3 linked regions of the Schizosaccharomyces pombe genome follow. The gene in region 3 interacts genetically with the main gene of each other region. Each region holds a gene or a part of one and is shown on either strand. Other genes may lie near its edges.

Region 1 (10,509 bases), on a different chromosome or scaffold from region 3:
TACTTTAAAAGACACATCTTTCACATTTAAGGGCTGTGCATTGCTGTTATCGACATAGATAGATGAATGTGTAAATCTACATGAATAGACTGTGAACCACTATGTTAATCTAAATCCTGTTAAAGATTATTAAATTATTCTTTAAGAGTATTCATAACTAAATTTTAAAAATAAAACTTGGGTTTTAGGAAACTAATTACCATCCTCTATCTTTCTGGAAAATCGACGTATCTAGCAATTGTGATTATTAGAGGAGGCACAATGGAAATTATCAAACCTTTTTCGTTCCAAAATTGACTAATCAGGCATTTATGCTATAAAAAGTAGAATTCCATAATTTACATCAAATACAAAGTAATAAGGACGAACAAACCAGACACTACAAAGTATGGAAAATCCACACAAAAATGAAATTAAAATATCAATCATATTCGGAACGTACGTAAGAAAAATTCATCATCTTCTTGTCAGGCAGGAGTTCCTTGCCGACGGAAGAGGTGTTATCATAACTGATAGAAGACGTAAATATCAAAAAAAGCTTCCGAAACGTTTCAACTTACTTAGAGAAAAGGAGTAGTAACATGAGCGTCAAAATTGTAGTTGACACGGCTAAAAGCCTAAGACTTCAATAGCTTTCATTACACTCATTAACAGGAGGGTATATCATTTAAAAGGAAGGGGGGAATAATTAAATTATAAGCTTTCCATTCTTTCTAAAATGGCATGCGTGAAATCACCAGTGGAAGCCGAACCACCCAAGTCTTTGGTCAGGGTTTTACCCTCTTCAATGACAGAATAAGTAGCGGCATTGATAAGATCAGCATAATCTTTTAGGCCTAAATGACGAAGCATCAAGCAAGCGCTAAGGATGGCAGCTGTAGGATTGGCTTCCCCACGTCCAGTAATACTTAAACCAACATGACGGCAACCAGGCTCGAATAGAGCATAGTCACGACCAAAATTGGCACCTGGAATGACACCGGGGCCACCGACCAAAGCACTTCCAATGTTGCTAAGAATGCTACCGTACAAGTTCGGCATCACTAAAACATCGAATTGCTGGGGACGAGAAACAGCCTGCATGGAGGCATTGTCGACAATTAAATCCTTAGGAGTAATAGCGTCGTAACCGTTAGCAACGTCGTAAAACGTCCTTCGAAAGAGACCGTCGGCCAATTTCATGATGTTAGCCTTGTGGATGCAAGTGACCGATTTGCGGCCATTTTGTAAGGCAAAATCAAAAGCAAATTGTGCAATTCTCTTTGATTTGTATTCTGTAATGATTTTCAAAGATTCCACGACTCCCGGTACCGACTGGTGCTCGAGACCCGAGTATTCACCTTCAGTGTTTTCACGAATAATTGCAAAATCAACATTGTCATGACGAGTCTTAAATCCAGGAATGTTTTTGATGAGCACTAGAGAGGCATAGATATCGAGTTCTTTTCTCAAGGCAACATTGAACGAGGTATGGCCTCCTTTTTCAAATGGAGTGAACAGAATTCCCTTTAAACCCACTTTATTTCTCTTGAGAGATTGAATTGCCTCATGTAGCGCGTCTCCAGACGATTTATTGTTTTTTTCCATTCCTGTAACATCAATTTCTTCAAATTCGATAGGAACGTTTGCCGTTTTAAAGATCTCTGTCACTGCATTGCTCGTTTCTCGTCCAATTCCATCGCCTGGAATCAACGTTACCGTGTATTTACCTCCATACTTTAATGGTTGAAAAGCTGAGGATTTTCTTACTAGTGATTTGAACATTATGTATCTTGTTTACTTCTTTTCTGTAACATGCAAACAGGATTGTTTTACAAGGCTATTGTGGTTGGTAAAGGAAAGCCGATGAGACCCCCAAACAAATACCTACACATCCATCGATTACCCCACTGCCCAATTCTCCTTAAAGGTAGCAATTTACGAACCTTATTCTGTTACCTTATCCAATGACATTTTAACCTCTTTAAAAGAATACTTTTTGTAGTTGTATCACGATATTTCACCTTCTACTCTAATATCAAGGTTTATACTGTTTTTTAACTCGCTATAAGAATTTATACTATTTACTATAGGTTCACACATCCAAAAAATAAATATTTGCACGAGATTTCATAGTTATCGAATTCGATATTACTGAATTTTGACCAATGTATAAGCATTCAACTTATTACTAACAAATGATAAATGTTTACGATAATAAACACAACTTCACTGTCATAGCTCTGCGGTCTGATTACACATGTATTGAAGCGGCTATTGTTTTCTTAATAAGCCCTTTTCATTCAATAAAGCCTATAGTTGTGGGTAAACTTTTCATGTCATCTATTTACTACGGTGACCAGGTAACTACCACATAAGCAACGACCTGGACAGGATACAAAAACCTTACCAACTAACTACCTATTTACTCACAGTTTCAAATAAAATGTTGAAAAAGGGCGGTAATTTCATAAATATAAAATCACTTATGCAGTACGTAACTTAATAATAGTAAATTAACTTATATGTTTTGTGCGAAGAGCATTAAGAGGAAATGTGTTTGCAAACAAGTATAAAAAGAAGAAGGAAAATGGTAGTAGAGAACACAAAGGTAGAACATGATGATCCAAGTATTTTCACTCAAATGAGAAAAAAAAAATAATTTCGGAAACTTTACACAGAAATTCTTTTTCACTGTTAAACACCAATAGTTCAAATATCAAAAGTAATCAATAGCTAGCTATCCATTTTACTCCTGACCAAAACCAATCGTCTCTTCAACAGCTATGGACAATTTATGATCCAAATCTTTTTTCGAAGTATAAGGAGGAAGATCAAGTCGATTGAAACAGGTGTGGGCCTTGGGAAGTTTATTGGGTTCACCAGCTTTTTCAATAGTAAACTTACGGGGGCCATCACTTCCTTGCAAATCTTTGAACCCGTTGACAGGAATTCGGCTAGTACCAGTGGTAAATTGTAAAAGTCTGGATTTCTTTTCATTACTCCATTCATCCATAAGTTCCCAAAACCATTTAATAATCTGGTCATTTTCACTGTATGAACGATAATCCGTATGCTTCTTCCAATCCTCCATGTCAATTTCGGAAATGCCTCCAATCAACAACTCCAATTCTCTCTCGTCAAACACGTTAATCAGTTCCTGTGGTATGAGCTCACTAAAACCTTCATGAAATGCATTAAACTGCTCTTCTATACGTTTTTGAATGCGCCATACAGTCACCAAATCAACATATTCGCGTTTATTCTCTTCTGTAACTTCAATGTTTCGACCATTCGGCTTCAAATCAATCGTAACAACCTCGCCAAAACAATTGTCTTCGACACTAAAGGTCAAATCAAGAACACCGGTTATATCGTTGTCCAAAATCCAGACTAAACTTCGATAATACTCTGCATCCATACTTTCCATATCCTGTAACGTCACCTTCTTTTGTAAAATCATTTTGTAAAAAGAAACAACGAAAAAGGCATCAACAAACCGACGATGGAAAATTGCGAGACCAATGACTCGGCCTATGAACTTGAAATAGTTCAAATGCTCTGGATTAATGCCAGAATGAGGATTAATTTGAAGCGTATAATTATCAACCGAAGAGTATTCAAATAAACAATAAAAGGGGTTGAACATTTCATGTGATAACAAAAAGAAGTATTCACGGGATAATCCACCGTAATCCAAACCATCTTCACCATCAAACTTAATCATCAAACGTTTTTTCAAATCGGTTGCAGATTGTCTCATAATTTCCGCATACGAATCTTCAAAGATATGATTTCTACGCACTTTAATGTGGCACTGCCCTGGCAAAGGATGCAAAGCTGGTTGCGAAAGGAAATAAATCAACTTTCTACGGAAATCACGTTTGTATTGAGGAACGTTTTGATCTAACGACGAAGGTAAACGAGGATCATCCCAAGTGGTAGTCTTGGTATTGTGATCAACAAAATATACACGAGCAGTATTGGTAAGACGCATTTCCCAACCACTTGGCAAAGGACCAAGTTGAGAGACAGGTTGTTGCTGAATAGTAGCATTATTAGGACCGCCATAGGAACGAATGTACTGTTGACGGCGCGGATCCACCCAAGTAGTAGTTCGCGTATTATGATCCACAAAGTAGGGTCGACCCTCTGGTGTATACCTTTGCTCCCATCCCGGTGGAAGCTCTCCTGAACCAGCAGTAGTAGCGTTAGAGGTCAAAACACTAGCTTCTGTACGACGAGCTGCATTGCTAGAGGAAGGTTGAACACCTTCGGTAACATTCGCAGACGATGCACTACTATGCAATTCGGCTGCGGCTGCTCCGGCAACAGAACTTAGGTTGGGGCGAATCCACGTTGTGCTTCTTGTATTATGATCTACATAATAAGTTCGGCCAAGATTATCGGTACGTCTTTCCCATCCAGGAGGAAGGCGCCCATATTGATCTTCAAATGAACTAAATGTGCGAGGTTCTGAACTAGCAGGGGAAGCAGCAGGTGCGTTGTCGCGGGTAGGTGAACCAGCACGAGAGGAAGCAGGGTTACGAGACACACTGCTACTTTGTGAGCTTTGCGGGTCATTGGTAATGCTAGTACGTTGGGTACGTGCACCTGATGCTGCACTGGATGGAACCTGTAAGGTTGACTGCGCAGTCGTTGATAAGTTTATGATTATCTTGCCATGAACTACTGTATTCTCATTTGACTTTTTCAAATCGCGGGTCAACATTTCATCACCTCCAATGGCGAGATCGAGCACATCTCCAACACGAAGATTTATCACTCCTAGAAAGCCTTGGCCTTTTTTCTTAAATTTTTTCTGATCGAACACCTGAATCGCAATGGTGCTATTATCTGTAACATTACTAAAGAATTGTTAGAAACATTGTTTTTAATCAAAAAGTTAACATTAGCTAAATTATAAGGGATAAACTGGAAGAAACCCCAACTAAAATTGATATACATAAAAGTTACTTGGAAAGGTCAAAACCTGGGATATACACTTACACTTCAAAAGTCTCATTCCAATAAGGGTTTAACGTCTTTTTGATAGCAGTTGTGGTATGTGTTTGCTCACCATCCACTGTTAGTACCGCAAACGGGTCAGGAAAACGAAACACATCTCGTTTGTAAAGGCCATCAGCAGCAACAACTATTTTGGGTCAGCGTTTGCACAGGGCATTTGAATAATGTCATCACATACTTGTTACTCGAATTCGACGAGATCTAATCATAAAAGTTAGCAAATGTGTTTATAGCAGTTAAAGAACTACTTACTGAGCTGAGTTTGACATAGGGGGAAAAGATGGTAAAATTTCAAACCAGCGTTGCTTTTGGATAATAAAAAAAAGCCAATTTCCCAAAGAAAGTCAAGTATTTGTGCTTGCAAAAAAAACTTTCAATTAAGGCCGTTTTATCCTTTCTATTTGATACAAAAACGCTTTTTTCGGGAACGAAATAAATAAAAAAGAACTACAAAAGGAATCCTTAATCAAATTCGTGCTTTCAGCGCACAATTTTGAAATCCGTCGGATTTCGCGTGGTGTTGGCTGAAAGGAGAATTAATCGGTCTTGCAGATTAGATCCTTAACGCATTATAACCCATTTCCTTATATATATACAACGCGATTACCAAATTGTTCTTTATCTTTTTTGGCGTACAGAAAATACGTTTTACGTGTTAACTACGAAAGTAAATATCATGCAGCACAATGTATGATTTGCAAGCTATAAGCATTTAATAAATTGATTTAATACGAAAGAATGAGGAAAATGTATATCTAACCACTTTGCGTTCAAGTGATAGTTAGAACTGAGAAGAAAGAGAGGAAACGAAGAATTGTAAAAGGTACATACAAGAAGGCAAACGGAGTGCCGCGAATAAAAGTAATAAAGCCAGAACTTAGCAACAACTCTTAAACAGACAATGCTCAAAATTTTTATTTTTTAATTATCAGTAGTCGAGCATGCTGGCCAAAACAAAGTTAAGTAAACATCCAGCCACACGAGAGAAAGTAGAGCTAGATGGTCCTCAACATGACGAAAGAGTAAGAGCGATAAGTGCAGCGAAGGGAACGTGACGCTCCATTACATATACGAGACGGTGAAAAAGGAACGGAAGGAAAAGAAAAGGAAAAAGTACAGTATGTACATTTATTTCAAAGAAATGAGATAACGAGATTGGTTAGGCGACTGAAAGTAAAATTGAAATGGCTGGTCATAAAGACTATTTGCTATCCACTTTCAATAACAAGAAACCATGGGATGGAAAACAGGTAGCTGTTAAAAGTTTCATTTCGTTTTACACTATTCAGGAAAATTGGCTTTCCGTCGCATTTGACAAGAATTCGCCATTCTGTAAAGAAATGTACAAATGAAAAAACAAAGCGAAACGGCGAATGAAACAGAAATGATTGATAAGTAATGAAATGCAAATGAGAAAAGGATAAGAATAAACAAACCAAAGAGACTTTTTTAAGGGTTGTATCTCACTACAGTGAAACAATTGAAAGAAAAATTCAAAAGTCAGTCAAAAGATGAAGTCGATTTAAAAGCAATAAGTTAAGGAACCAGATGACATATTTAAGACTTTGAATGAAATGCAAGCAACGAAATTTTCTTAAAAAAAGAGGGCCATGAGAAAAAGCAAATAGTTAAGTTTAAAAAGAAAGTTTGAAAGAAGGATAAATAGTTTGCTAAATAACTCCTTTTTTAAAGAAAGTAAACCGACGGACCAATTGATTGTATGAGATGGTATAAGCGAAACCCATAATAATAACAAAGCTTTGCAATGAGAATGTGAATTTCTAATACCATAAAACTGTTCAAGCAAAAAGGAAATGAGTGAGTAACGGTAAAACAAAGAGATAGCAATAAGATTGAAAAGATCGATTACTTAAGATTTTCGTAAAAAACAAAGGTAAAAGCCGAATAAAGAAAAAGTTGTTATACGAAAAAGTGATGAGCAAGCTTTTCTTCGCAAGACTTTCTACCATCAATTGAAGGCAAGCGTAACTAACGCATTTATTTTAAGCGACGGATATATCCAGAAATTGTAAACAAATAATTTTTGCTTAAATCTATCGCAACAAGTGTTTAAGCGCATACTTTAAAACAGGTTCAACCTGCGAGCTTCCGATGACGACCGAGGAATAGAAACGTTGCTACTTGATGGGTTGTCAGCAAAAGGTGAATAATTGGGCTGGTTAGAAGCACCAGTGCTTGTTGGGGAAAGAAGATTGCTTTGAGATCGACTAGACAGAGCTGCCCTCGAGCCGTAAGAGGATTCTCCAGCTAAATCACTAGCCATGCTTTCACTGTCACTTTCAGGAATCGTAGCTAAAGGACCTTCTGGATAGGAATCTGAACCAGAACCACTGTGTTCTGCAGCTTCGGCCGCAGCTCCAGCGGCACCAACAGCAGGGCCTGACTCAAACGGAGATGCAGACAAACCTTCAGAAAAGTTGCTTCCATTAGATGGAGGCATTGTAGCTTCAGCTTCGTTAGAAGCAGAAAGATCAGGTGGATTTCCAATCGGTCTAACCATACGGGCTCCTTGAGGACGAGTAAAGCTTCCACCAGTATTAGCTGCATCAGAAGCATCAGCACCGACACCAGCAGCGGTAGCAGCTGCAATTGGACCAGCTGAATTACTACTGCCACCCAAAAGGCCGGGCTGAGAAGCTGCAGGCGGATTGGCTCCGCCAGCGCCGGCAGAAGGTCTAGGAGCAACAGGCCGTCCGTTAGTATTGTTTCCAGCAGCAGGTGTTGGGCTTCCATTCCAGCCACGATACCTGTTATTAGTAGAGGGAGCACGATTTGGGCTACGGAAATTGGAGGGTTGATTGGGGTTAAATCCGTATTCCTCGACTTCTTGCATGCGCTCAGCCTTAATTCGTTTGGACCGTTGATGCCTTTTCCAAAGAAAAATTCCTAAACCAATCAAAATTAGAACTACACCAACAGGAATAGCAACAGAACAACCAACAACTACGCCGACATGATTGCTTGACTTGTTAGATTTACTGGGCAAAGTGCCACTGGAAGAATAAGAAGAGCTAATAGGCGTAGACGAAGTGCTGGAAGTGAAAGAACTGGAGGAATTCCAATTATTAGTAGTAGTGGGGGTCACCACTTCAGAAACGTAAGAAGTTGAGACCAATGTGATTATTGAGGGTCCATCTCGATACGTACTACTGACAATGCTGGCTGAAGAACTCAAGCCGCTCGTAGTCATGGAAGAGCTGTGGTAGGAAGAACTAGATGATGGGACACTAGACGAATGGCTTAAGGAACTACTGGACATCCCACTGGAGGAACTACTAGCGACAAGAGAACTACTGCTGCTGCTAAGCGCGTGACTCGAACTACTGGAGGTCGGGGAAGCACTGCTACTGGAAGTCAGTGTAGCACTGCTACTAGAGGTCAATGAAGCACTGCTACTAGAGCTTTGTTGGCTGCTTGATGAGACCAAAGATGTGATAAAAGAAGAAGAAGCAGGAGAAGTAAAAGATGAGGATGAAAGAGGTGAAGACGATGATGAAGAACTAATTGCAGTAGCACTAGACGATGAAAGCATAGAGCTCGAACTAGAAGGAATCACGCTTGAGCTACTCAAACTCGTACTAGCAGCAGCAGAAGAGCTGCTTGCCGGAATACTGCTAGAAGCAGATGAGCTGAGGGAAGTGTCCACACTTGAAGTATTGTTCGTGAATGACATTTTCTCTTGCGTGCGAATTCCCTTACAGAAAGAAGGTTTTTTGAAGTTTTTAAAAGAACGTTGGATTTTTTTTCTAGAAAAATAATAAGATCTCGTCCAATTTCAATGTATCTTGATGAATTCCCTTAAAAGCACGGTGAAGAGTAAGCGGTAAAGAGAAAATGTCGCGGTCCTGCTTGGCTTTGCCTATAGGTAAGGGTGATGCACTTTTCAATGTGGGGATTCTTTCCGAGTTAGTTTCGAGGCTTTTTTTCACCTTACCAATATGTTACCTATCAATGCTCTAGCAAAGAACCTTAAAGTTACGAACCAGGTGAAATTTTACTAAGGCAAATTATTCATTTCAAATGGCTGGATAAAAAGAGATCGCCGTTAACTTGCGCTTAATGAGAAAGCTACCACAGTTTTCACATACTGCAATATTCATATAGATTTCCCTAATTTTAAATTACTAAACATCCGCAACAGTAGATGCCATTTACTACTGGCTTGAAACATATGGCTGCATTTGACACTATCGTTTCCACGCGGTAATTGAGTTAACCACCTTACATAGTAACAATGTATTGAAATTTTATTCATGCCAAATTAAATTGATATAGTAGAAAATTAGTATTATCGCTTCATCTGACTAGTAACTCCGACTAACAACCCATCCACGTTACTAAACCTGCTCTTAAGAGACAACTGCAAGTGTGGTAAAAAAATTTTGTAGTTGGATGCTGCTAAAGAATCACAACGACAGATAGAAAAGTAACAAGAATAGTTGCAGTAACTTGACGAATGATCGCATCTTCTAGACAAAAAGTCAGTTTAAAAGGAATCTGAAGGATTAGATGAATATGGAATGACAATAAACTCTTTATTTAATGAATGCCAGCCGTAAAAAAAATCAAGACAAATAACATATAAGTCATAATAACAGGAAATTGAAATATTGAGAGAGGCCCAGAATTGCATGAAGCAAAGTCCTTATGTTTGCGAATGTTTCAAGACACCATAGCTTCACACAAAAGTAGATGAGTTTAGATTAATTAAAACAGAAATTCTCTTCATCGAGGAAATTTAAGCGATTTACTTCATACCATCGCTTGACTTGTTGAGAAAAAAAACCATATAAGAAGTAGATGCAAAAGGACGAGAAAAGGGAATAAATATAATCAGACAATTGGGGTAAACGTTAAAAATTCGTAATTCTTGCAAAGAATTGAATGAAAATAGCAACTTTTCCAAAATAATAGTACATATAGGATAATCGTAACAGTTTAGGAAGTTCATAAAGTTAGAAAATCTATATAAAACTGTGAATCCCGAAAATATTAAAGTCTTCATCGCTGTTGTCCCAAGAATGTCCCATTAGCCGTCGCATACCGGCATCCTCAGCGGTTGCCAGTCGAGGGATAGACACCTGTGGGTGATCCAAAGGTTTGTAAATTGATGAAATACAAGTATTGTAAGAATGACATGAATTACATTTATGACCCAAGAAATGGTATTTCGTATCACAACGTGAGTTACAGTCATTGCAACGGATGGTAGAAATCCAAGTGTTATAGGGATAAGGCATGGGTTGTCGTTCAATTTCCATATCTAAAATTCGAAACAATGAATTGACATTAATGATCGTTTTGTAACAAGTAGGACAACGATAATTGGTTCTTATATATTCTTCATGACATCGCTGGTGCAACGGATGAGAGCAACTTAAAAAGATTACGCGTTCGCGAGAGTTAAACATGTATTCACCACAAATTGGGCAATTACAATCCGTACTTCTTTCGATGCAACGATGAGTATTGAAAACCGAA
Region 2 (9,375 bases), 2.1 Mb from region 3:
ATTTACGCCTTGTCAAGAAAATATAGACAAAGTCTTACAATGGAAGCAACCTAAGAATCGTAAAGAATTACGACAATTTCTAGGTTCTGTCAATTATCTTAGGAAATTCATTCCAAAGACATCACAATTAACACATCCACTCAATAATCTTTTGAAAAAGGATGTACGCTGGAAATGGACACCAACACAAACCCAAGCGATAGAAAACATTAAACAATGTTTAGTTTCTCCTCCGGTGCTACGACACTTTGATTTCAGTAAAAAGATTCTACTGGAAACTGATGCTTCAGATGTCGCTGTAGGAGCCGTATTGTCTCAAAAACATGATGATGATAAATACTATCCTGTTGGATACTATTCAGCAAAGATGTCTAAAGCACAATTAAATTATAGCGTATCGGACAAAGAAATGCTTGCAATCATTAAGTCTCTCAAACATTGGAGACACTATTTAGAATCCACTATCGAACCTTTCAAAATTTTAACAGACCATCGAAACTTAATTGGTCGCATTACTAACGAATCCGAGCCTGAAAACAAACGTTTAGCTCGTTGGCAATTATTTTTACAAGACTTCAACTTTGAAATTAACTACAGACCTGGATCAGCAAATCACATAGCTGATGCCTTATCCAGAATTGTTGACGAAACAGAACCAATTCCAAAAGATTCAGAAGACAATAGTATCAACTTTGTTAATCAAATCTCGATAACCGATGATTTTAAAAACCAAGTGGTTACAGAATATACGAATGATACAAAATTGTTGAATTTACTAAACAATGAAGACAAACGAGTGGAAGAGAATATCCAACTCAAAGATGGCTTACTAATTAACAGTAAAGACCAAATCTTATTACCTAATGATACTCAGCTGACTAGGACAATTATTAAAAAGTATCATGAAGAAGGTAAATTGATTCATCCAGGCATTGAACTTCTTACAAACATTATATTACGTAGATTTACGTGGAAAGGAATAAGAAAACAAATACAAGAATATGTACAGAACTGCCATACATGTCAAATAAACAAATCTAGGAATCATAAACCTTATGGACCTTTACAACCAATTCCCCCATCAGAAAGACCTTGGGAATCTTTATCAATGGATTTTATTACAGCTTTACCAGAATCATCTGGTTATAATGCACTTTTCGTGGTAGTTGACCGATTTTCAAAAATGGCAATCTTAGTACCTTGTACGAAATCCATTACAGCAGAGCAAACAGCTCGAATGTTTGATCAACGAGTTATTGCTTATTTCGGCAATCCAAAAGAAATCATTGCAGATAATGATCATATTTTTACTTCCCAAACGTGGAAAGATTTCGCACATAAATATAATTTCGTTATGAAATTTTCGTTACCATACAGACCACAAACTGATGGACAAACTGAGCGTACAAACCAAACTGTGGAGAAATTACTAAGATGTGTATGTAGCACACATCCAAATACATGGGTAGATCATATATCCCTAGTGCAACAATCTTACAACAATGCGATACATTCAGCAACTCAAATGACACCTTTTGAGATAGTACATCGCTATTCACCAGCTTTATCACCTTTAGAGTTACCTAGCTTTAGTGACAAAACTGACGAAAACTCTCAGGAAACGATCCAAGTATTTCAAACAGTTAAAGAACACTTGAATACAAACAACATAAAGATGAAAAAGTATTTCGATATGAAAATACAAGAAATTGAAGAATTTCAACCTGGAGACCTAGTTATGGTCAAAAGAACGAAAACAGGTTTTCTTCATAAATCCAATAAATTAGCACCTAGTTTTGCAGGACCGTTCTATGTGTTACAGAAGTCGGGTCCAAACAACTATGAATTGGATCTTCCAGATTCAATCAAGCACATGTTTTCATCTACTTTTCATGTTTCTCACCTAGAAAAGTATCGACATAATTCAGAACTCAATTACGCTACCATTGATGAGTCTGATATTGGAACAATTCTTCATATCCTAGAACATAAAAACAGAGAACAAGTACTCTACTTAAATGTCAAGTACATTTCGAATCTAAATCCGAGTACTATTATGTCAGGATGGACTACATTAGCTACAGCGCTACAAGCGGACAAAGCAATTGTCAATGATTATATTAAAAACAATAATCTAAATATCTGAGAACATATGACTTATCCTCAGATTTACATAGAAAATCTTGGGGAGGGCAATGTCAGCAATACTACACTACGCTATAATACACTACGTTGAGTATCACTATATGTCACATGTTCTAATTATATATCGTACCATGTATGATACGATATGGAGATTGATCTTAATGATAATCTATTAAGATCAATATTATCTGAATACTATAAATAGAGCTACTGCTGAACCTCGTTCCTCAGTTCAGTTATGAGCTATATTAGTGATAGGTAACATTATAACCCAGTTAATACAATACCTATACTCAGTTGCTACTTATACAACCTGTGTATTGTAATATAATAGATCACAAGGAAAACTCACCGCAGTTCTACGTATCCTTAAATCAGATACCAAACTGCGTAGCTTACATTAATGAAGCAGAATGAAATTCACTAATCTTTACAGATTTTTTTAATAATACCGTTGCATACAAATACATAGGTAAATGAATGGACTAAGAGTGTTTGAGCATGTACACTGTTCTGTACTGTATAAGTTTAATAATATTGTAAAGTTTGATCTTTACAATGTCCTTCTTTTTCTTCTTTTTCTTTTGCCCGTTTTGTTTGTTTTTGCTCGGTCTATGATAGAATTCGATGATACCTATCCAGAGTCAGTAAGTAAGGTAAGGTAGGGCAAAAAAGGGTAGGTAAAAAAATCTGATGTAGCTGTTTAAGTGGAAATTAAAGATGATGAGAAAATTCGACGACATTTATAAGATGAAGGTTTCAGTGTTCCATACGTTCTTTGTTACCATGATTCTTTGTTTTCTAAAGCGGGAAACTTACGGGAATAATTTATAATACTGCGCAGTTATGTTATGTTGGCCATAACGAGAGCGATGATGAATCATAATGATCCATCATGGCGATCAAATGAGACGGAAACCAAAAAACCGTACGAAGATGGACACCGATTGGAATACAAATTCATAAGGAGCAAGTGTCAGTAATAAGAGAGTGATATTAATGATGAAAGAATAATATCAACAACAAAAAAAGTAACATTATTTGTGAATGAGTAATATACGCTGCGTACGTAGCAATGTTGCATGTCAAAAACAGAAACAAAATTAGAGATTGTGTGCCAGTGCAAACAAAGAGGCCTTGTAGCATAAGAATCGCCAAATTGCAATGGGCTTATTAAGAGTATTTTTGATTACTTACATTCACTCTGTCAGCGAGCCAGACCTTCCCAGAAACCGCCTCTTCGATCAACCCATTTGCCTCATTTGTTGATATTTGCACTGTTTGTCGGTAAACACATTGCTTGTTTTCACCATTTGCTGCTCTCGAGCCTCCCTTGTCTTCCTCGATCCGAAATATACCGTCTTGCTAATTGCAATAAGTTACAATTCCAAATCTCCTTACTACGTTGCTGCCTTAGGATTGTGCCTTATTCCGCGGAGAGCATTCACGGAAGAATTATAAAACTATTATTGTACACCAAATTACAAAAATGGACTTTAATTTAACAAAAAAATTTTTCCTTTCCTTCTATGGATGTCTTTGCTTTTCAACTTTTATCCTTTCTCTTTTGAATTAAAAATACTGATTGAACCTCTTTTTAATAATATTTATTTTCTTATATACGAACGGTCACAAGGGCATTATTCATCGGCTTCCTGCGTATTTTGCAGATCAGGCGGATACAGATCGACGGGATGCTCCTGACCTTATGAATAGACTGGTACGAGTAAGGCCAACTGTGATGATTTCTAATAAAACTAATAAGCAATTTGTAGCCTCGAAGCTTTTGCGCTGGTAGGTTACAATAGAGTATTTCTTGCAACAGTAGACACCTCTCACTTGCTACGTATTACTTGTGGCGTGGGGACATACTGAGCTTATGGGAGGAAACAAAACAATGACAGTGAGATCAGATCAGATTTAGCACCATGAATATGATTGAGAATTCCTTCTATCCATTTTTGTAAACTTCTCAAGGAAATATTATATTACACAGGAAATCATTGTATTTCTATCGGTATATTATCATACACCAAAATCTTTAGCGGTTAACTTTCTCGCACTGTATACACAGCTTTTATAAAAAATTTCGTTCTCTTGCTTTTTAACAGATATTTTCCTTACATACATATTTCAATTTTCTGCACAAGCTCGTTTCACTTTATTCCGTTATTAATTGATGTAATCGTCTCATCGCGGCCCTCTTTCATCAAAAAATTCGTCACTTATGGAAACACGGTTCTCTGCATTAATTCGTTTAGCGTAAACCTAATCACCGTTATTCCAGAATAACATTAACGGAAATAACATGCGAAAACAATTACACGAGATTATTTTTTATGACGCAAAATCTTGATACCGTAACTTCTATGCGCCTCATTAAAATAAATTTTGAGCAATCATCCCATCTCTTCATGTTTTTAACATTCACCGTGAACCAAGTATTTTCTAGTGATTCTTGAAATCAAAAGGGCTTTAAGAGATCGATTTCTAGTGAAATCGCTCGTCAGTTTTGTCTTGCTTTTTCTCTAGATTTTGGTGTTCAATCGACTTGGTTTGCGTGGACTGCTGATCTATTGCGAATCTTGCGAATATAAACTGCCCATCGAACCTCTCATTTTCTCTAGCCTTGGGTTTCTTTTCATTTTTTCAGCTCCTCTTAAGAAGGTGTGTGCTCTACTTTAATTGACAGTCTGCTATTTTTTTTTAATTAGCTTGTTCTTACACATTTTTGGGTTGATAATTCACATGAGATTTTGAATTATTAAAACAAAAACATCATCACTAAGGGAGACATAAAGCAAACTCATAAAGTTCCTTTGTTCAGCTTTTTTGTTACCTTACATCCCTGTGTTAAATTCAAGTCGGTTTACTTCTTTCTCATCAATTGGATTACTATTACTTTCTACGGAAGAAGAATAGGTATAAATCATCTTCAAAAAAATTTGGATAATAGGCGAAAGAAAAAAGTCGTTGGTTGTTTGGTTTAACGACTTTTTTTCTTATTTCCATACTTCGTTAATTCTTTCTTCTCTTTAATTTCCTGGTGGGTTTTTCCTTTTCACATTTTTTAAGTTCAATTTAGCAGTGTTCTTCCACTGTAGGGTTTGGTTTTTTTAGGTGTACTTGGCATTTTTACACACATTATTTTATTCCTGGTTTATCATTTCATACTGGTAATTTTTTTTAAAAAATTTTCCATTTCTATTTTTTTTTCCATTCCTTTGTTTTACCGACAAACGCTTAGATTTTCTTATTACTATGCCATTAAAACTTGCACTACCTCGTTCAACCACGCCAAAAGACCCTGCTCGCTGTACGTTAGATATACGTATGGAATCACCGCCGCTGGTATTCCTTGGCTCGCCGGAAACGTCTAGTGGTGCACTTGCGTCTGGCATTTTAAAACTGACGATTTTACATCAACCTTTTATTAAAGTACATACCCTCAAGCTGCAACTCATAAAAAGGATCACCGTTCTTCATCCTGCAATCTCTCATTGTTCTGCTTGTGCGGGTTCAAAAGAGGTTTTACAGACTTGGGATTTAGCTGCAAATACCACATATAGACCTGGTACTCAGCATTGGCCTTTTAGTTGGCTTTTCCCTGGTTCGCTTCCTGCTTCGGTTTCTAACAGATACATCAAGCTTGAGTATTATTTAGAAGCTACGTTATGCTATGGTACTCCTGAAGGCGGAATTTCTCCCTCGAAGCCCGAAGTTCTTAAGTTTCCTCTCCAACTAAAGCGAGCTGCCATTCCTTCGCCTGATACCATCCATAAACGTATCTTTCCCCCTACGAATCTTGTTGCAAACATTACTTTGCCCAGTACCTTGCATCCTCATGGAGCTGCGCTTATGGAAGTTACCATGACTGGTTTTGCCCAAAATGACGGCAACGATTGGAAGATCAATAGAGTTACTTGGAGATTGGAGGAGCATATGCAGTTTAGTTGTCAACCATGTGAACGCCATCGTGATTTGGTAAAACCTCGACCTATTGAAGAAAAAAGAATTTTGAGTACACAAGATTTACAATCGGGATGGAAGTTCATTGATAATCAGATGTTTCTATCTACTCAAATTAACACATCTTCTTTAAGAGAGCCAAGCTGTGACGTGGAAATTCCTGCCCCTTTTTCCTTAAAAGTCTCTCATCATTTAATTTTTGAGACCATTGTTAATAGAAAAAAGAACGTTGCGGGAAACAATATGGGCAATGCCCGTATCTTACGAGTATCAGTCGTTCAGCCACTTACCACGCCAGCTGGTTTAGGTATTAGTTGGGATGAAGAATGCCCGCCAGTTTTTGAAAGTGTAGGACCCGCTCCGCCTGCCTATACCTAGAATATGTGGGTCGGATGTAACCGGAAGAGCTCGATCACCATCACATAACTATCAAAAAATGAACATGGCTCTTTTTATTTTTTAATTCACAAGTTTTATTAATTTAAGGGAACTATTTATAATATCTACATTCATCATTATCTGTTTATTTTTATATTTTAAACGTAAATGCATTGTATAGTAGTTGTCGCAATGACAATGAGTAATATGCCTTCGGCAAATGTCCATAAAAACTCTTCATTAAGATGATTAAAATTAAACCGTGAAATGGGTATATGAATTTCCAACAAAGAATACGAAAACGAAATTGATTGTTGAGAGTAAACTAGGGTGAAAAGATACAATTAAACGATAGACAAGTTATGCGTAGTTTTGCAATTAACGATAATTTAGGCTTATGGTGCCTAAGCTTATGGAATTGTTAAGGAGCGGTAGACGTTACTTGTACAAAAGATAGATGTTGTCCTGATAAAATAAATTGGAGCAGTTTTTTAAAGTTCCTGAGTATGTCCATGGATTGGTCAATAGGTAATCCAAAAGTTTCTAAAAAATCATTTACATCCTGGTTGAGAAGATAAATGGCATGTTCAAAAAGCTCAATTGGTCGAGTTGCTGGATAAAGGGGAAAGATACGCGTGGGGATGTCGGGTGTCAATGTATCCAGGATGGAGGATCTCGAAGATGCGCAAAGAATTGGATAAGCGAGTTCTTTTTCGAGATACTTTGAAAGAGTTTGAAGTAAATGCGCCAAAAATCCTATGGAAGCAGCCATTTCCACATTATTAATTTTATCTGGCTCAAAAGATAGGCGGAGATTGCGAATTGTAAACTCGTCATGATTGCCAGGCGATGGTTGGATTGGGTAAATTTTGGAAAGATGGGAAACGTGCATACGAATAGCATGTGCCATAAGGATTCGAATCTCTATATTGGTCTCTACTTTTGTTTTTAAAGAATTGGCAAGTTCCACATACTCAGCTTCATCTTTTTGAAGGGATTCTTTGGATTTGTTCAAAGTGTTCCTTTTTGAGGATAACCAGCTTTTCGTCTTGTCAAATTTCGTCCTCATCTGAGTGATGCTATTAATTTGTTTTTGCCAAAGATGTTCTAATTTAGCCAGTTCATCGATTTTTTCATCCCGAAGTAACATCCTTTTGTGCATCAAACGTATCTGCTGAAACTCCTCCTCCTGAAAATGAGCTCGAATTTCATGTTTAGCAATGTGCATTTCATCTATGCATTCAGCCAGTTTCAAAATTCGAGTGATTTTCTGAATAGTGTAACCATCCTTCCGCCTGTCTATAGAATATGTGGAGGCACTTTTTGGAAAGGAGGTCTGTCTCATAATATCCGAAGACTGGGATGTTGTGTAGATGTAAACGCCATCATTAAATTCACATAAAAGACCGTTTCGAATATGACAAACTGCAAAAACAGGCTACAAATAATATGTTAGTCAACACAAGGGAAACATAAGGTAAACCAAAAATATTCAACCGTACATCATTACCAATATAACGAAAATTACTGTCATATCTCAAAATTTTCCATTCTTTATGTAGCTTGAAGGCATGACTACTTGATGAGCACCAAGTCCTCACGATAAAGTACTCTTCGTGACGGTATTTTTGAAGCTTTTCGGTTACTTTTTCATCGACGTAAAAGATGTGATTCTAATGAGAGGTTAGACACAAAGAACATAAATACATACAAAATTTGTATATGGGTAAAAGAGATACAAGGTATAAACTATCAATTGAGGGCTTTGTTTCAAGGATTTGAGCAACGAAATTTTGGCAAATCACTTGTATAAACAAACTGATTAACCTTTTCAATCAAGCAAATAACCTAGATATAATGATACCATTCAGATACTTTTGTTTATCAAAGCATGTTCACATACAGCATTTCCGCTCGTTTCAGTAATATAAACAGGCAATTTCTTACTCTGCACATGCAATGATATAAAAATACGAATAGTTCCTTCGGAAATTGCACGTTTTAACTGCACATCTCGTTTCCACAAATTTTCCGTCGTATTGATCGCAAATTTGCTATGATTTTGAATTTCTTGAACATTTCTTATTTGTATTGATTTAAGCCTGGAAAGTCGGTAGTTTCCTGGTAATTCAAGCGACATTCTATCATGGTTAAAGCAATGAATGCTTTTGCTTCATCGCATCGCCCTACTTGGTAAACTCAGCTGAGTCTGGTGCTAGCGTAGGATAACAATATACTGGTTTAGTTCGTTATTGTCAGCAATACTACACTACGCAATGATACTCCACGTTGCATATCACTATATGTCACATGTTCACAATGTTCTATTTGCTCTATCAACTATTACATGATAAGTCATCAAGATGGAGATATAATATCATTCATGATAAGATAACTATCAGATATAATTCTTACTACTTCAAATATTATAAATTGAGAACAACTGAACCTCGTCCCTCAGTTCAGTTATAAGATATATTAGTGATAGGTAACATTATAACCTAGTTAATACAATACCTATACTCAGTTGCTACTCATACAACCTGTGTATTGTAATATAATAGATCACAAGGAAAACTCACCGCAGTTCTATGTATCCTTAAATCAGATACCAAACTGCGAAGCTAACATTATATGCACTTTATTGTCAGCAGCAAGACTTCACTAAGCCCTTTTGCGTGTCATTATATGCTACCATTAATTAATTGGATTATAATACTATACATAATATAATCGTTAAATGTATTTATATTAAATTATATTTAGATAATTCTGAAACTTTGCCGTAATATATCTTATTCTTAAAGCTGGCCACTGATCCTTTAGCTCAGAACTCATTCTTTAAGGAAATTTAGTGTCTTCCGTAATGGTTGAATGAATTTA
Region 3 (12,170 bases):
TTAAAGCTGTTCCAAAGTAACTTCTGCTTTCATAATGTTAAATGATAATGGTTTATTATTTTTTGCTTCTAAAGTGGCAGTTTGCTAGTGTCTTTAAAGGATAATTGTTAAACGCTTTCCTTTTTTTTGCAACCGATTTTATATGAACAAAATTAAGTTGTTTCTTAATTATGTGATCACATCAACATACAACATTAAGCTACATTTCTGGTTCATATTGGGGATTTCAAAAAATTGAATCACATGATAATTATGTTCGCAGCATAGTATCATAGGAATATACAAATTGCTAAAGTACATGATTTTTCTTTTACTTTAGTATGCTTTTGTAAGCTTCTGACACATACTTAAATACTCAAACTCATGTGGAATAAAGGTCTTAATCGCATAATTAACATTGTAAACCACATAAAAGGGAAGCTCGATTTGTCTGCCTTTAATTAATTTTCCTTAACTATTTGCTGGAATAAACAATGATCTTTTAAACGCTTCAACGATAAAAGTAATAAGCTGCTTTACAATCTCAGCACAAAACTAATACAAATGAATTCTTTAAAACTATAAGAATATCAAGTTTTGAAGTTTCAAATAAAATACTTTCTTGCATATTTGATGACTGGAATCATGATTAATTAAAAATGTATTTTTTTTATTTGACTGCTTTTAAAGCAAAATCAACATTATCTTTTAGCGAATGTTCGCTAAGTTTACTTGTGTGAAATAATAATGATACCTCAACCATATTAGTTTACGCTTACAGGGCGACAATAGCTAGTGTCTACCAAACTCGTGTTCAACGGATCACGGACACCAGAAACCAAATTATAAACTGGCCAACTAGATTTTAAGTCTAAATGAATCATTTTTAGAAAATTTTTTATCATCATTATCATCTCTCTTTCAATACCAAATTTAAGGCATCTTTTATACATTCTCATCATTCATTAACCAGGCTTATTGCTTTCTATAGAAAACTTCTATATCTAGATCTAAGAATCATATATTCTTTTACTTCTTTATAAATTTTTATAAAGTATTTATAGGTTATTGATACTAAAAAGTCAAGTTTTGATAAAATACCCATATATTCAAATATGACCAACCAAATTCCGTCTGCATCTTCAGCGGCAGATTTTGGAAGCTCAAAATCTACTTCTGTTGATGCAGTTCCAAATATGGATAAATCTTCGTCCGTTCGCCGAAAAAATATTGATAGCAATGGTTTGCAACAAACTAATCAAATCGAGCAAGCAGAAAGTAGTTTGAATGCCGAAGCTGATCACTCTGAACCTGAACGTTATGGTTGTACACCGTCAGGAAAAGTTTTCTTATTACCAAAAGAACAAGAAAATCGACGAAGTATATTAGAAACTGTAGATCCTCGGTTTTCTAAGACACCCTGGGATTGGATTGTCATTTCATCTATCCTTGCTCAAGTACTTCTGTTTTTTATGACAACCGGTGCAGTTCGTCGTTACTCTATGATGCTTTGTTTCTTTTTTTGGAGAATCAGTTATGATGCTGGTATAGGTTTTTTGCTACATATGCAATCGAATCATAGAAAAGTTGTCACTTGGATTTCTGACTTTGGTTTTTTTGATAAAGAAAATCACCCGAAGCTTTATGATTTAACAAAAAAGCAACTTATATCTAAGATGGACTCTAGTTATAACTATGATACTTCCCCTCTTGAGTTTAATTCCTGGTTGGTATTCCGTCACTTCGTCGATTTAATTCTCATGTGCGATTTCTGCTCATACATTTTGATGGGATTGGCATGGACTTGTTGGCCGAAGGTTAATATCATTCTTCAATTTTTGAGGATTTTTGGAGGTATCGCGCTTATTGTATTCAACTATTGGGTAAAAATGGATGCTCATAGAGTTGTTCGCGACTACGCTTGGTATTGGGGTGATTTTTTCTTTTTGCTTCGCTCTTCTTTGGTTTTCAACGGAGTTTTTGAGCTCGCTCCTCATCCCATGTATTCTGTAGGTTATGCTGGTTATTATGGTATGAGTCTTTTAACTGGTAGTTATGCAGTTCTTTTTGCTAGCATCCTCGCACATGCTGCTCAATTTGGTTTCTTACTGTTTGTTGAAAACCCCCATATTGAGAGAACATATGGTACAGACATCAATCATGCTAGATTGTCTCCACGGGGTGAAGACAATGAATTTGAATTACCTCCAGAACATGATTTAGTTGGGTTTGTCAACTTTGATTTCACTAGGATTTCCGATGTCGCTTTGCTTATCATAGCCTTGTATAGTATTTTCATAATTTTGTTATCGTCGAATTCTCATTATAGTCAGTTTTGGGCTATATTTCAAGCTTTTGTTTGGCGTTTCTTGCATTCCATAATTCATGCTTTTATTCTTTTTTACCAATCAAAAAGCAAAGCATGGACCAAACATTTTATCAGAAATGGTGAATCTGCTGCTTATGCATGGTCCCAATGGAAGGGGTTATATAATCTTACATTGAACATGTCTTATATTTCCTTTGTTATGGCTGCTTGGAAATTGTATCATTTACCTTCAAACTGGACGTATGGACTTGTGTCTCTAAGACATGCCTTAGGTTTTGGACTGATTGCTTTACATATTTATACATCTGTCTCAATATATGAAGACCTAGGGCAATATGGTTGGTTTTACGGTGACTTCTTTTTACCTAGCCGATCACCCAAGCTTGTTTATCAAGGAATTTATCGATATGTTAACAATCCTGAGCGATTCCTTGGTTGTTCGGCTTATTGGGGTCTTGCATTGATCAGCAGTTCTGCTTGGATATTTTTAATCGCAATTCTAGCACAACTTTCTAATCTAGCAATTATCCGTTTAGTCGAACAGCCACATATGCAGAAAGTTTATGGAAACACTCTTCGTAAAGAAGCCGGTATTTCTAAATTGATTAAACAGGCTACTTCTGAAAAAGGAAATATTCTTCCAAAAACAGTCGAGACGCATATGAAAGCTTTAACAACATCCGTTGATAAGGTTCTGGATCAAACTGCAGAAGCTCTTGAGGAGTTTGTAAATACTGCACCACCGAAAGTACAGGAATTATTGAAAGGAACTGAAAGCAATCTTCGTAAAAATGCACAACTCGCCATTCTCAAACTGTTTGCTCCTCAATTAAGTAGCTCTACTCATTTTGATTATAAGTTAGAAATTAAAGGAATTGACAACAACCAAGTACTATTGGGGCATCCCATTACGGTATGCTGGACAGCTTCTCCGAATCATGAAATTAACGATTGGATTGGACTTTATAAATTATCTGACAATGCGAGCGATCTTTATACTCAAACTTCGAGTGAAGGTCGGTGGTCTGCGATTGATGCCAATGGCTACACATCTCATTGTTCCAGTATAAAGTCACTTTCGAATGACAAAAATTCTGGAGAAGTTGAGTTTTCCGGAGATCTGTTATTTTGGGAAACCGGAACGTTTGAATTCCGTTATCATTATGGGGGAAAGCATTTAGTTATGGCAAAAACAGAACCTTTCGTGATCACTGCAACTTCAATGAATACTACCGACGTGGATGAAGTTTCAGCATATTTACTTAAATCCATTAAATTTTGTGACCCTAATATAACACCGCATGATGGTGATGCGTCCTTGTGCGATATTTCTGAAGGTTCTGCTAGAAAACTAACTTCTATCATCAAGTATAGCTTCGGCATAGATTTAAGTTATCGCGTTGTTCAAGTAGATGGCAGCTGTAGCGCTTTATCTCGAAGAATCGTCAATTCCTTAAAAATTTTACAATCTTTTGATGGTCCCAGCGGTGCAAAAGATGATTAAATATTCAACAATTTTATGATTTATTCATTCAACATGAATTTTTGCTCTTACATGACTAGTGAGCTTCAACCGCTTTAGACAAATAATGTTACTGAATATATATACTTTATTTTAATAAATGAAAAGTATAATTTAAATGATCTTTTAATTCAAAAAAAAAACCCCAAAGATAAATATGTATGGATATTTAGGTAACCTGAGATCATCAATTTTAATCATTGATTGAATCCAATTTTGAATAGCTATACCGAACAATTTGTATATTCCAAATGTAGTCTCAAAAAAAATAACCTTTAGTAAATTATTCATAAACGTTGACTATATTAAAGTATATAAAAACTGTAATAACAATCTAATAAGGTAAAAAAAGGTTATGGAAATCGTGTCAAAATGAAATTGATTATAATTATACGTTAACATTAGAGGCATCATCTGCTGAAGCATTTGAAGCATGAGTACTAGCTGAAGAATAAATACTACGACGATCATCACTTGCATGATTCACAATACCATAAAACTGATCCAGCTCATCTTTATTTGAGCAAAATTCCCTAAATTTACGCTCTAATTCTTCAGCAGTCTCTTTCAAATTAGGATTCAAAGTGCTTTTGTTGCTTTTGGTGAAACTCAATTTGCTAACCTTTGAGTTATGAAGGCGATTTGGAAGCCACAAAAATCGTTGATCATCATCAATTTGAACTAGCACAGTTCCTGTTCTGTGTATGTATTGTACGTAACGAAAGTTAGGTTTTCCCCAAGAATAAACTGCGGTAATTGATTTCGGAAACGTACTAGCTGCTTCGGTGTCTAAAATAAAATCAAAGTGCTCAAGAATTTTAACATTCCACCAATTCTTAGAATAGTTCACTGGATCATTTACCAGAGGCGCTCGTTCAGGAATAGGTGGAGGATCTAACGCTAGTGAAATGATCGAGACTTGGTCAAAGGGGTTAAGTTCTCCGACGGCTGCAATTTCATGAATTGGAGCTTCCACTAATTTCAAGCCATAACGCTCTAAAATCCGTGACCAAGATTGAAGGAGCTTCTCGATAACACTTGCTGTAGCCAATAACCATTCAATGCGAATATGATAACATGAGGCAGGATTATGAAGCAAATCGTAATGGACGGTCACTGTTTCGGATTTCCCATTTTTTTTCTCAACGTCTGCATTAAACAAAATGCGTCTCGACAACTCTAACCGAGAAGGACCAGCTTCTGATTCTGTTATTATTTTATTATCTAAATGTTTTTGACCTGAATCTTTTTTTCGACTGAACCAACTACGATATGGCCTGTTTGAAACAGGTTTGATACTGTAATCGGGTGAAATTCGATAAACATAGTAGCCATCTAACAAAGGGTGTTTTTTTAATGCATGATCAAAGAGTCCTAGGCTTAACAACTTATTTCCATATTTAAGAGCTTCTTCTCTAGTATTGATACCAATGAAGGTATTAGCTAACCAGGAAACAAATTCACTCCCAAGAAAACAATTCTCATAAATTCTGTAATGCCATGTAATATCGTCAATTTTAGGACCACCAGGCCCTTGAATTTCTTTAGCGATGGTATGAAGGTCAGCAGAGCAATCTAATCGTTTATTAGGCATAAACAATGATTGTTCATTCCTAGAAGAATCCAATCGCAACGCTTCTAATTCAGAGTGAATATACTGAGCCATTGGTAAAGTTGTAAATTTGATTCCTAGAAGTTCAGCAGGCGAAGTATTCGGTGTTTTATTATTGCTGTCATTCATGGGGTCAATTTTTCCTTTATACAAAAGTTCACTTAGCTTGTAAATACCTTCAACTCTAAATTCTTCATCGCTTAGAGCATCCGCATGATCCAGCAATTGATACTTTTGAAAAACATGTGTTGATGTAGTAGACATTGGTAACAACACAAAACGGGCTCGCCAATATTTAACAGAGTCGGGTAAATAAGTCTCAAATCCACATATTAATTGATCGACGTAATTCCAATTATAATTTGCGGAATCATTGGCAGAAAATGTGATATTAGACTTGACATATTTACATTCATTTTTAGACCAAAAATTATAATCGTATCTCATTTTACCTTGACCAGAAACCTTTTTGACATAACGCTTTACTTCAATATTGTATCCTACTGAATCACATGAAAGCCTGTGGAACTGACTATCGCCTAGAGAAAGGCAAACTGCATCACTGCCTACTGTTAAATGCCCATTTCTTTGATTATTTACAGAGCGAGAGAAATCGGTAATCGTTCCTGCCTTATTGGCCTTGGGATTACCGCTATAAGAGACCGCGGCAGCTGGATTAACCACAATTTGATATCCACGTGATAATCTTTGACAAATCATCTCAGCAAGTAATTCCTGTTGATTCATTTGAGTAAATTCAGGATCGATTCCAATTGTGTATGTGTATTCCTCAAATTTATCATTCAATTCCTCTTCAGAAGGGAAGTAACTAAAAGTTAACGGAAGCGCACCAGGAGTACACATGGAAAGCCAATTAAACTTCCTAACATCCTGCACTTTCATATAGAGATGTTCCCATCTTAAAGAAACGGGATCATTATCAGCAGTTGTCTCTTTCAGTTTAAAAGGATTTTGAATAATCTTCCATGGTGTTTGATATTCATTCTCTAAATTGGTAGAACTTTTCGGAATTACAGTCTTAGCATATTCAGGACTGTTGGGCTTTAAAAACGTTGGGGGCTTTTTTGTCGCTATTGGAGGAGCTTGACTAAAAGCCTTGCAACTATCACTATCTTCATTATTTTTGATCGGAATAGGTCTTTGAATTGTAGATTTGAAACCAAGTGGGTTTGCCGAAGTAGTAACCGTAGCGGGGAGAGCCAAGAAACCTTTTAATAAAGCCGGAAAGGAAGACTTTTTGGTAAGAAGTGAAGACTTATTAGATGAAGACGTTTGTAAGGAAGACGATACATTGCTAGAGTTACCAGCTAATTTCTGTAGCCTTTCGGTGAGGGCAGATTTACCAAACTGTCTTGCCGACTCTTTGCTGGTGCTTTTAAGATCATCAACTTTAGCTCCAAAACTAGATATCGATTCTTTCCCTGAAATTACTGTAGAAAGACTATGCCCATTCATCTCAAGGTAAGAACTTTTGTCCACATTAACGGGTGTATGAGATGAGAAATGGCGAGGAGATGATGAGCTCAAAACATCGTTTGCACTAACAGCAGCCTCACCAGTAAATTGCCGTTCATCGTAATCTTCTTGCACTTCTTCACTGAACACAGACCCTTTCAACAATGGATCAGACTGTAATAATGGAATCGAAATTTTGGCACTTTCGGCTTCCAGTACACCCATCATTTGTAATTCATGCATTTTTGCAGTAGGCTCAAATTGATGTTCTCGCATTAAATTTTCCCAAGGAGAACGTAAGGACCTCATTTCCGTAGTACTGTAAAAACTAATGTTACAGCCAATTGGAAATGTATATAACCATTCGGTATCCTCCTTTAAATTATTCAAAAAGGAAGACACTGAGAAGTTTGAAACTGATGACGTTAAGGAATTTGGTATTACATTAGAAGGGGAAACGGAAGAAGAAATTCTGCTGGTTAGTTGGGATCTTTTTTTGTTTTTCACCGGATTTTTGTATCGAACAATAGGCGTTAGAAATAAAGGAACTTTTCCTAAGGATACGATATCCATACCAACAACGGTATTGAGTAAGCTTTTAGAAGTCAAGTGTAGCATTTTTTCATTTACTTCATATAAACCAGTTCCTGGGGTAACTATTATGATACTAGTACCAGTACGTGATAAATCTCTGTCGATATAATCTGACTGAAATTGAAAGACAGCCATATTAATGACTTCCAAAAAGTTGCCTTCTTGGGATCCTGTCATCCTTCCGCATATATACTCAATTTCTCTCCCATTTTCATCCTTAATTTTCCTAACAATGACATCTTGTCGAAATTTTGCAAGTTCTAGTTTCAAATTTGCTAAAACAGGTTGCCAATCTCTGCTAGAAACATTATCCACCACCACCTTGAAAAAATCTTCGTAAGGACCACCTTCGTTATCAATAGAAGCATTGAAAGAATTTTGTGGATAAATACTACTTCCTTTTTCACTATTTTTTTGAGACCTTGGTTGCCAAACACACATAGGCCCATGGTGGCTGTACTCGACACGAGTAAACAAAATTATAGAAACCAAATGATGAGTTCCTAAGTCTCTCCAAAAAGAAAAAAGATCAGGAAGAAAACCATCTATTGCTTTGTTATAATTGAGCTCTCCATCTTCTTCAAAGTGCCACATCTCTTCACTCATTTGAATAAAAATTAGAAATCTGGCACTTTCAGACCGAAAAATTGGCTTAGTGCGTTCTGAAATGTACGCTGAATGACATTTTTTTCCTTTTCTCCATATACATCTAATTTCTCCAGGCACATCTCCTATAAAGGAAACACGCTGTTTTAGATAAACGCATTTACCGCATAATTCTCTAAAAAGCTTCCACATATCGCTTCTAGATATAAATTGGTCCCGAAAAAAAATTACCACATGTTCGGCTTCTAAATTAGTTTTGTCTTCACAAATTTTGACAACCACCGGTTCACGATTTTTTATATTGAGCAAAGAGCTTATGTGAGATACAACTGAAAGTTGCAGATTCGGATGTCGCCTCTTTAAATCATCTGTTAAAGGGGAGGGCATCAAATATACTGGTTCTTTTTCACGTTTAGCATGTAGTTTCCCTGTGCTTGAGTGATTATGCTGTAAAGCGATTTCATCACCATTTTGGGCCCTTATTTCAAAAATATCACCAGGTTTAGCAGAAGGTACTAAATCATAATTTAAGACTGCATCGTTTGGAAACAATGATGATTCGTGCGTCCACAGGTTCAAGGTAATAGCCATTTCATGAATTGAACAACCTACGCCATTAAGGCAGTAATCAAAAAATTAAATACAAGAATTGTATCAAAAAAAGAAGTAAATAATCTCTTTACACAACTTTATACGTTTGATTTTGATTAGGCGGATGTTGGGGTAGAGCTGCAAAAATCCAGTATAACACCAAGATAAATTGCACTAGTAAACACAGGTTACTCTTATCATAAAATCAAATAGTAAATGTTGCATTTATAAAGGTAGAGCATAATTGTGTATATTATATGACTCATGACTAAATATTTAATTTAAGGCAGAATGTATACTACTTGCACGAATACTTGATTGTCTAAGACACAATCATTAATATACCAGCAAGCACTTCGTTATCTTTTTTTTTTTTTTTTTTGTGATACTGTATTACTTAGAATTTATTTGAAAAAAATGTTTCTATCATATCGAATGTTTAAGATGTAGGTGTTCTTACGTTTATACCTCGTATATCATTGACTTTATTCTATTGACTTCAATATATGATATTAGATTACAATTCAGTGATTGAAACAGAGGCTGAATTCCAATTGTTTATTTCATTTTTTGGCTAACGGATTTGTTGAATTGGGGTGCAGTCTAAACTACAAAGACTCAAACCAGCTGACTCAATAATGTAATATTAAATTTTCAGCATTAAGCTTAAAAAATGATATTCATCACCCCAGTTTCTGAATTCAGGTTTGAAGTTCGATCAAATGAGGATTAATGTTTGAAAACCGAGCATTTTGCAATCTACTTTAAATTACCTTCAGAAAGCGACTAAACAATCTTGTGCGTTGAAAGTTAGCTTAAAAAAGTTACAATTAAAATTTAACTTAATTACTTTTTAAATTTATGATGTCCTAAACAAATCAATATTGCTAAAATAACCAAATTCCATAAACAAGAATTAAATAAGTGCAGAATTAAAAATGAGAGACCAATAAGAAGAGTTAAGGGGATAATCTTTAGTACAAGTTGACCTATATACATGATATTGGGGAAGTGAAGTAGAGCAATGAATTTTGAATAATCATAAAAAGTAGTCGGCAATGGGTCGTTTTGTTGGAATGCCAGATCTTTCTTGAGAGGCAGTACCAAAAATCTTAAAGGATTGCGTTTGGTTTTCATCAAGTTGTAATATAGAAGCAACATTTCCACATCTGTAACAGTAATTGGGTGCACTCCAAACAGTAACCACGCTTCCTTTATCCTTTTCTGGAATGGTTATTATGTCTCCAGGTGCCGGAGAATCATCAACAGGTGAGGCAGAATCTGAATCCAGCTCAGAGTCCTCTTCATTTGTAAATTTGGGATACTGTTTATCTTTATCGGAAAAATGGATTTTGTAACCCTCCATAACCAATTGATGAGCACGAGCAATGAATGAAAGGTCATTAGCGCGATTAAAAACTTCAGAAACGTCGGCACCAAACAAAAATCCAGCACCTCTGGGAGATAAACCCCATCCACTAATATCTTCTGGATCTGACCAAAGTAGATCACACATTGCTCCTTCATGCGGAACTTCTTGTTTTCGATCCAACAGTCGAATCTTCATAAAAAGCGTTAAAAGTTTAGTTCAAATTTTCGGAATTAATAACATACCTGATCGATACTGCTGATGCTTGGTGAAAGTCCACCGTGCACACAAAAAACCTTTCCATCCACCAAAGCACCAAGCGAAAGATAATCAAATATTTCACAACAATATCGCCATACATTGGCAGAACCATATTTCCTTACACATTCGTCATAAAATCCATAAACTTGTGTTATTTGTCGTGATTCATGATTTCCCCGGATAAGGGTCATCTCTTTCGGATATTTACATTTTAAAGTCAATAACAGGAGAAATGTTTCTACAGAGTAAAACCCTCTATCAACAAAATCCCCTAGAAATAAATATTTTGTACCTGGACATGACCCACCAATTCGAAAAAGCTCCAGTAAATCATGCAATTGGCCATGGATATCACCACAAATGGTTACAGGAGATGAGATCCATTGTATGTTAGATTCCTCAATTAAAATATCTCTTACACGCTGACAAAGTTCAACAACTACCACAAAACGTTAGACCCCATTCTTATAATTATGGCAAAGAACAACCAATATGAATGATCGTTGTTATATCGACGGAGATAAAAGTTATTCTATAAATACTATTATACATACCATTTGATTCTGGAATTAACCTTCCGTTCTCCAGTTCCTCAAGTTGCCAATCCAAATCTAAATCAGTCATTTTGAACTCGTCAAAACATAAAGTAAAGAAAACTAGAATAACTTGGTCCTTTAGAATAAGAAAATAAACAAGTGAAATTCTTTTTCAACTTTATGTATCATTTAAGAAATTTAATTTTAAATAAGTCAAAATACCTCTGTCAAGAGGTATGACGCGTAGAGCTTTGGTGACTAAAATTCGGTTTTCCTTTTGATAATGACTTTTAAAATAATTAACATGACCTCCTTAATTAGCAGCTTCCGAATTTTATTGACACATACGTTGCGTTACGCTAGATTGTTTTTCAGAAAAATACGGTTGCTCCACCATTATTAGTGCTTTCATCTCGAAATGAAATGGACACAAGTTTTTGTATTAGATTGTTTTTTTTTAATCATTTATACTTAAAATTAATGATGAACTAGAATCTTTTAATTAAGTTGCATGCTACTCCAGTATGATTATTATAGCATGCCGTATTATCATTGATCTTGAGTTTTTATAACGCTAATACAAGAACGTGCACCTACTCATATATATATCTAGATTATAAGAAAAACTCCTATAGTTCTAACGGATCTAAATTGTTCGCACAAATGCGCAGCTTTGATGTTATAGGGTTTTTGTGAAATAAACTACATAACACTATAGCTTCTTGGTAAAAATCAGATAACACTCACAATTATAGGTAAAATAATCTGTATGCTGAAGGCGTACCCCTGTGGCGGAATATACACTCAATATAGAAAAACTGTATAGTCAATTCGTGTTGCAAACCCATAATTTATGTGAAGCTTTAACATAATTTGCATACTATTCTTTACTTATGTTCAGTCGGCAACTCAAGATGTTCAAATAACTAAAAAGATTTTAGAAATATATTCTTTCTATCTTTCAATATGGTTTACTGCAATTTGCGTACTATCAAAAGAATGAGGTGTGTAAGAAATGCTTGCCCTGAGCAGTACAATGCAATTTTTTAATACTTTAACTATATCAATCAATGTGTATGCTGTTGTTTTTATCAAGTATGAAACATATCTCATCTTGGTTGTTTTGGTCGCTTGTTATAAACTCATTTGGCTAGTAAAGCGACTGTTAATTTTATGTACAACATACAAAAATAAAATGTTAACAGAATTGTTTGGGTATTACGTAGAATCGGAGTATAAGCGCAACACACTAGTTTTTTTTGCCGAAAAAATTATTTTCCAGACGTTTTAATACC

Evidence for each region.
Region 1: of iml1 (region 3) and pub1, changing one suppresses a phenotype caused by changing the other (phenotypic suppression), as found in Schizosaccharomyces pombe (one study listed by BioGRID).
Region 2: of iml1 (region 3) and any1, changing one suppresses a phenotype caused by changing the other (phenotypic suppression), as found in Schizosaccharomyces pombe (one study listed by BioGRID).

What each region holds. Positions count from the first base shown.
Region 1 is NC_003424.3:3,958,090-3,968,598, reverse strand, and holds pub1 (HECT-type ubiquitin-protein ligase E3 Pub1), read right to left. Parts: upstream 5,534-10,509; 5' UTR 5,277-5,533; coding exon 5,260-5,276; intron 5,209-5,259; coding exon 5,186-5,208; intron 5,135-5,185; coding exon 4,990-5,134; intron 4,848-4,989; coding exon 2,729-4,847; 3' UTR 2,427-2,728; downstream 1-2,426. Other genes in the region: isocitrate dehydrogenase (NAD+) subunit 1 Idh1, read right to left, coding at 694-1,764; protein Mtl2, read right to left, coding at 7,091-8,701; SPOM_SPAC2F3.16 (ubiquitin-protein ligase E3), read right to left, coding at 9,993-10,509. UniProt on the Schizosaccharomyces pombe protein: E3 ubiquitin-protein ligase which accepts ubiquitin from an E2 ubiquitin-conjugating enzyme in the form of a thioester and then directly transfers the ubiquitin to targeted substrates. Regulates ubiquitination of cdc25.
Region 2 is NC_003423.3:1,805,519-1,814,893, reverse strand, and holds any1 (arrestin-related substrate adaptor Any1), read left to right. Parts: upstream 1-4,574; 5' UTR 4,575-5,406; coding exon 5,407-6,492; 3' UTR 6,493-6,636; downstream 6,637-9,375. Other genes in the region: Tf2-9 (retrotransposable element/transposon Tf2-type), read left to right, coding at 1-2,146; phophatidylinositol 3-kinase complex subunit Vps38, read right to left, coding at 6,914-7,930, 7,995-8,165, 8,396-8,632.
Region 3 is NC_003423.3:3,944,967-3,957,136, forward strand, and holds iml1 (GATOR1-SEACIT GTPase activating complex subunit Iml1), read right to left. Parts: upstream 8,844-12,170; 5' UTR 8,710-8,843; coding exon 4,219-8,709; 3' UTR 3,944-4,218; downstream 1-3,943. Other genes in the region: phosphatidylethanolamine N-methyltransferase Cho2, read left to right, coding at 1,095-3,812; pph3 (serine/threonine protein phosphatase), read right to left, coding at 9,749-10,270, 10,324-10,778, 10,894-10,963.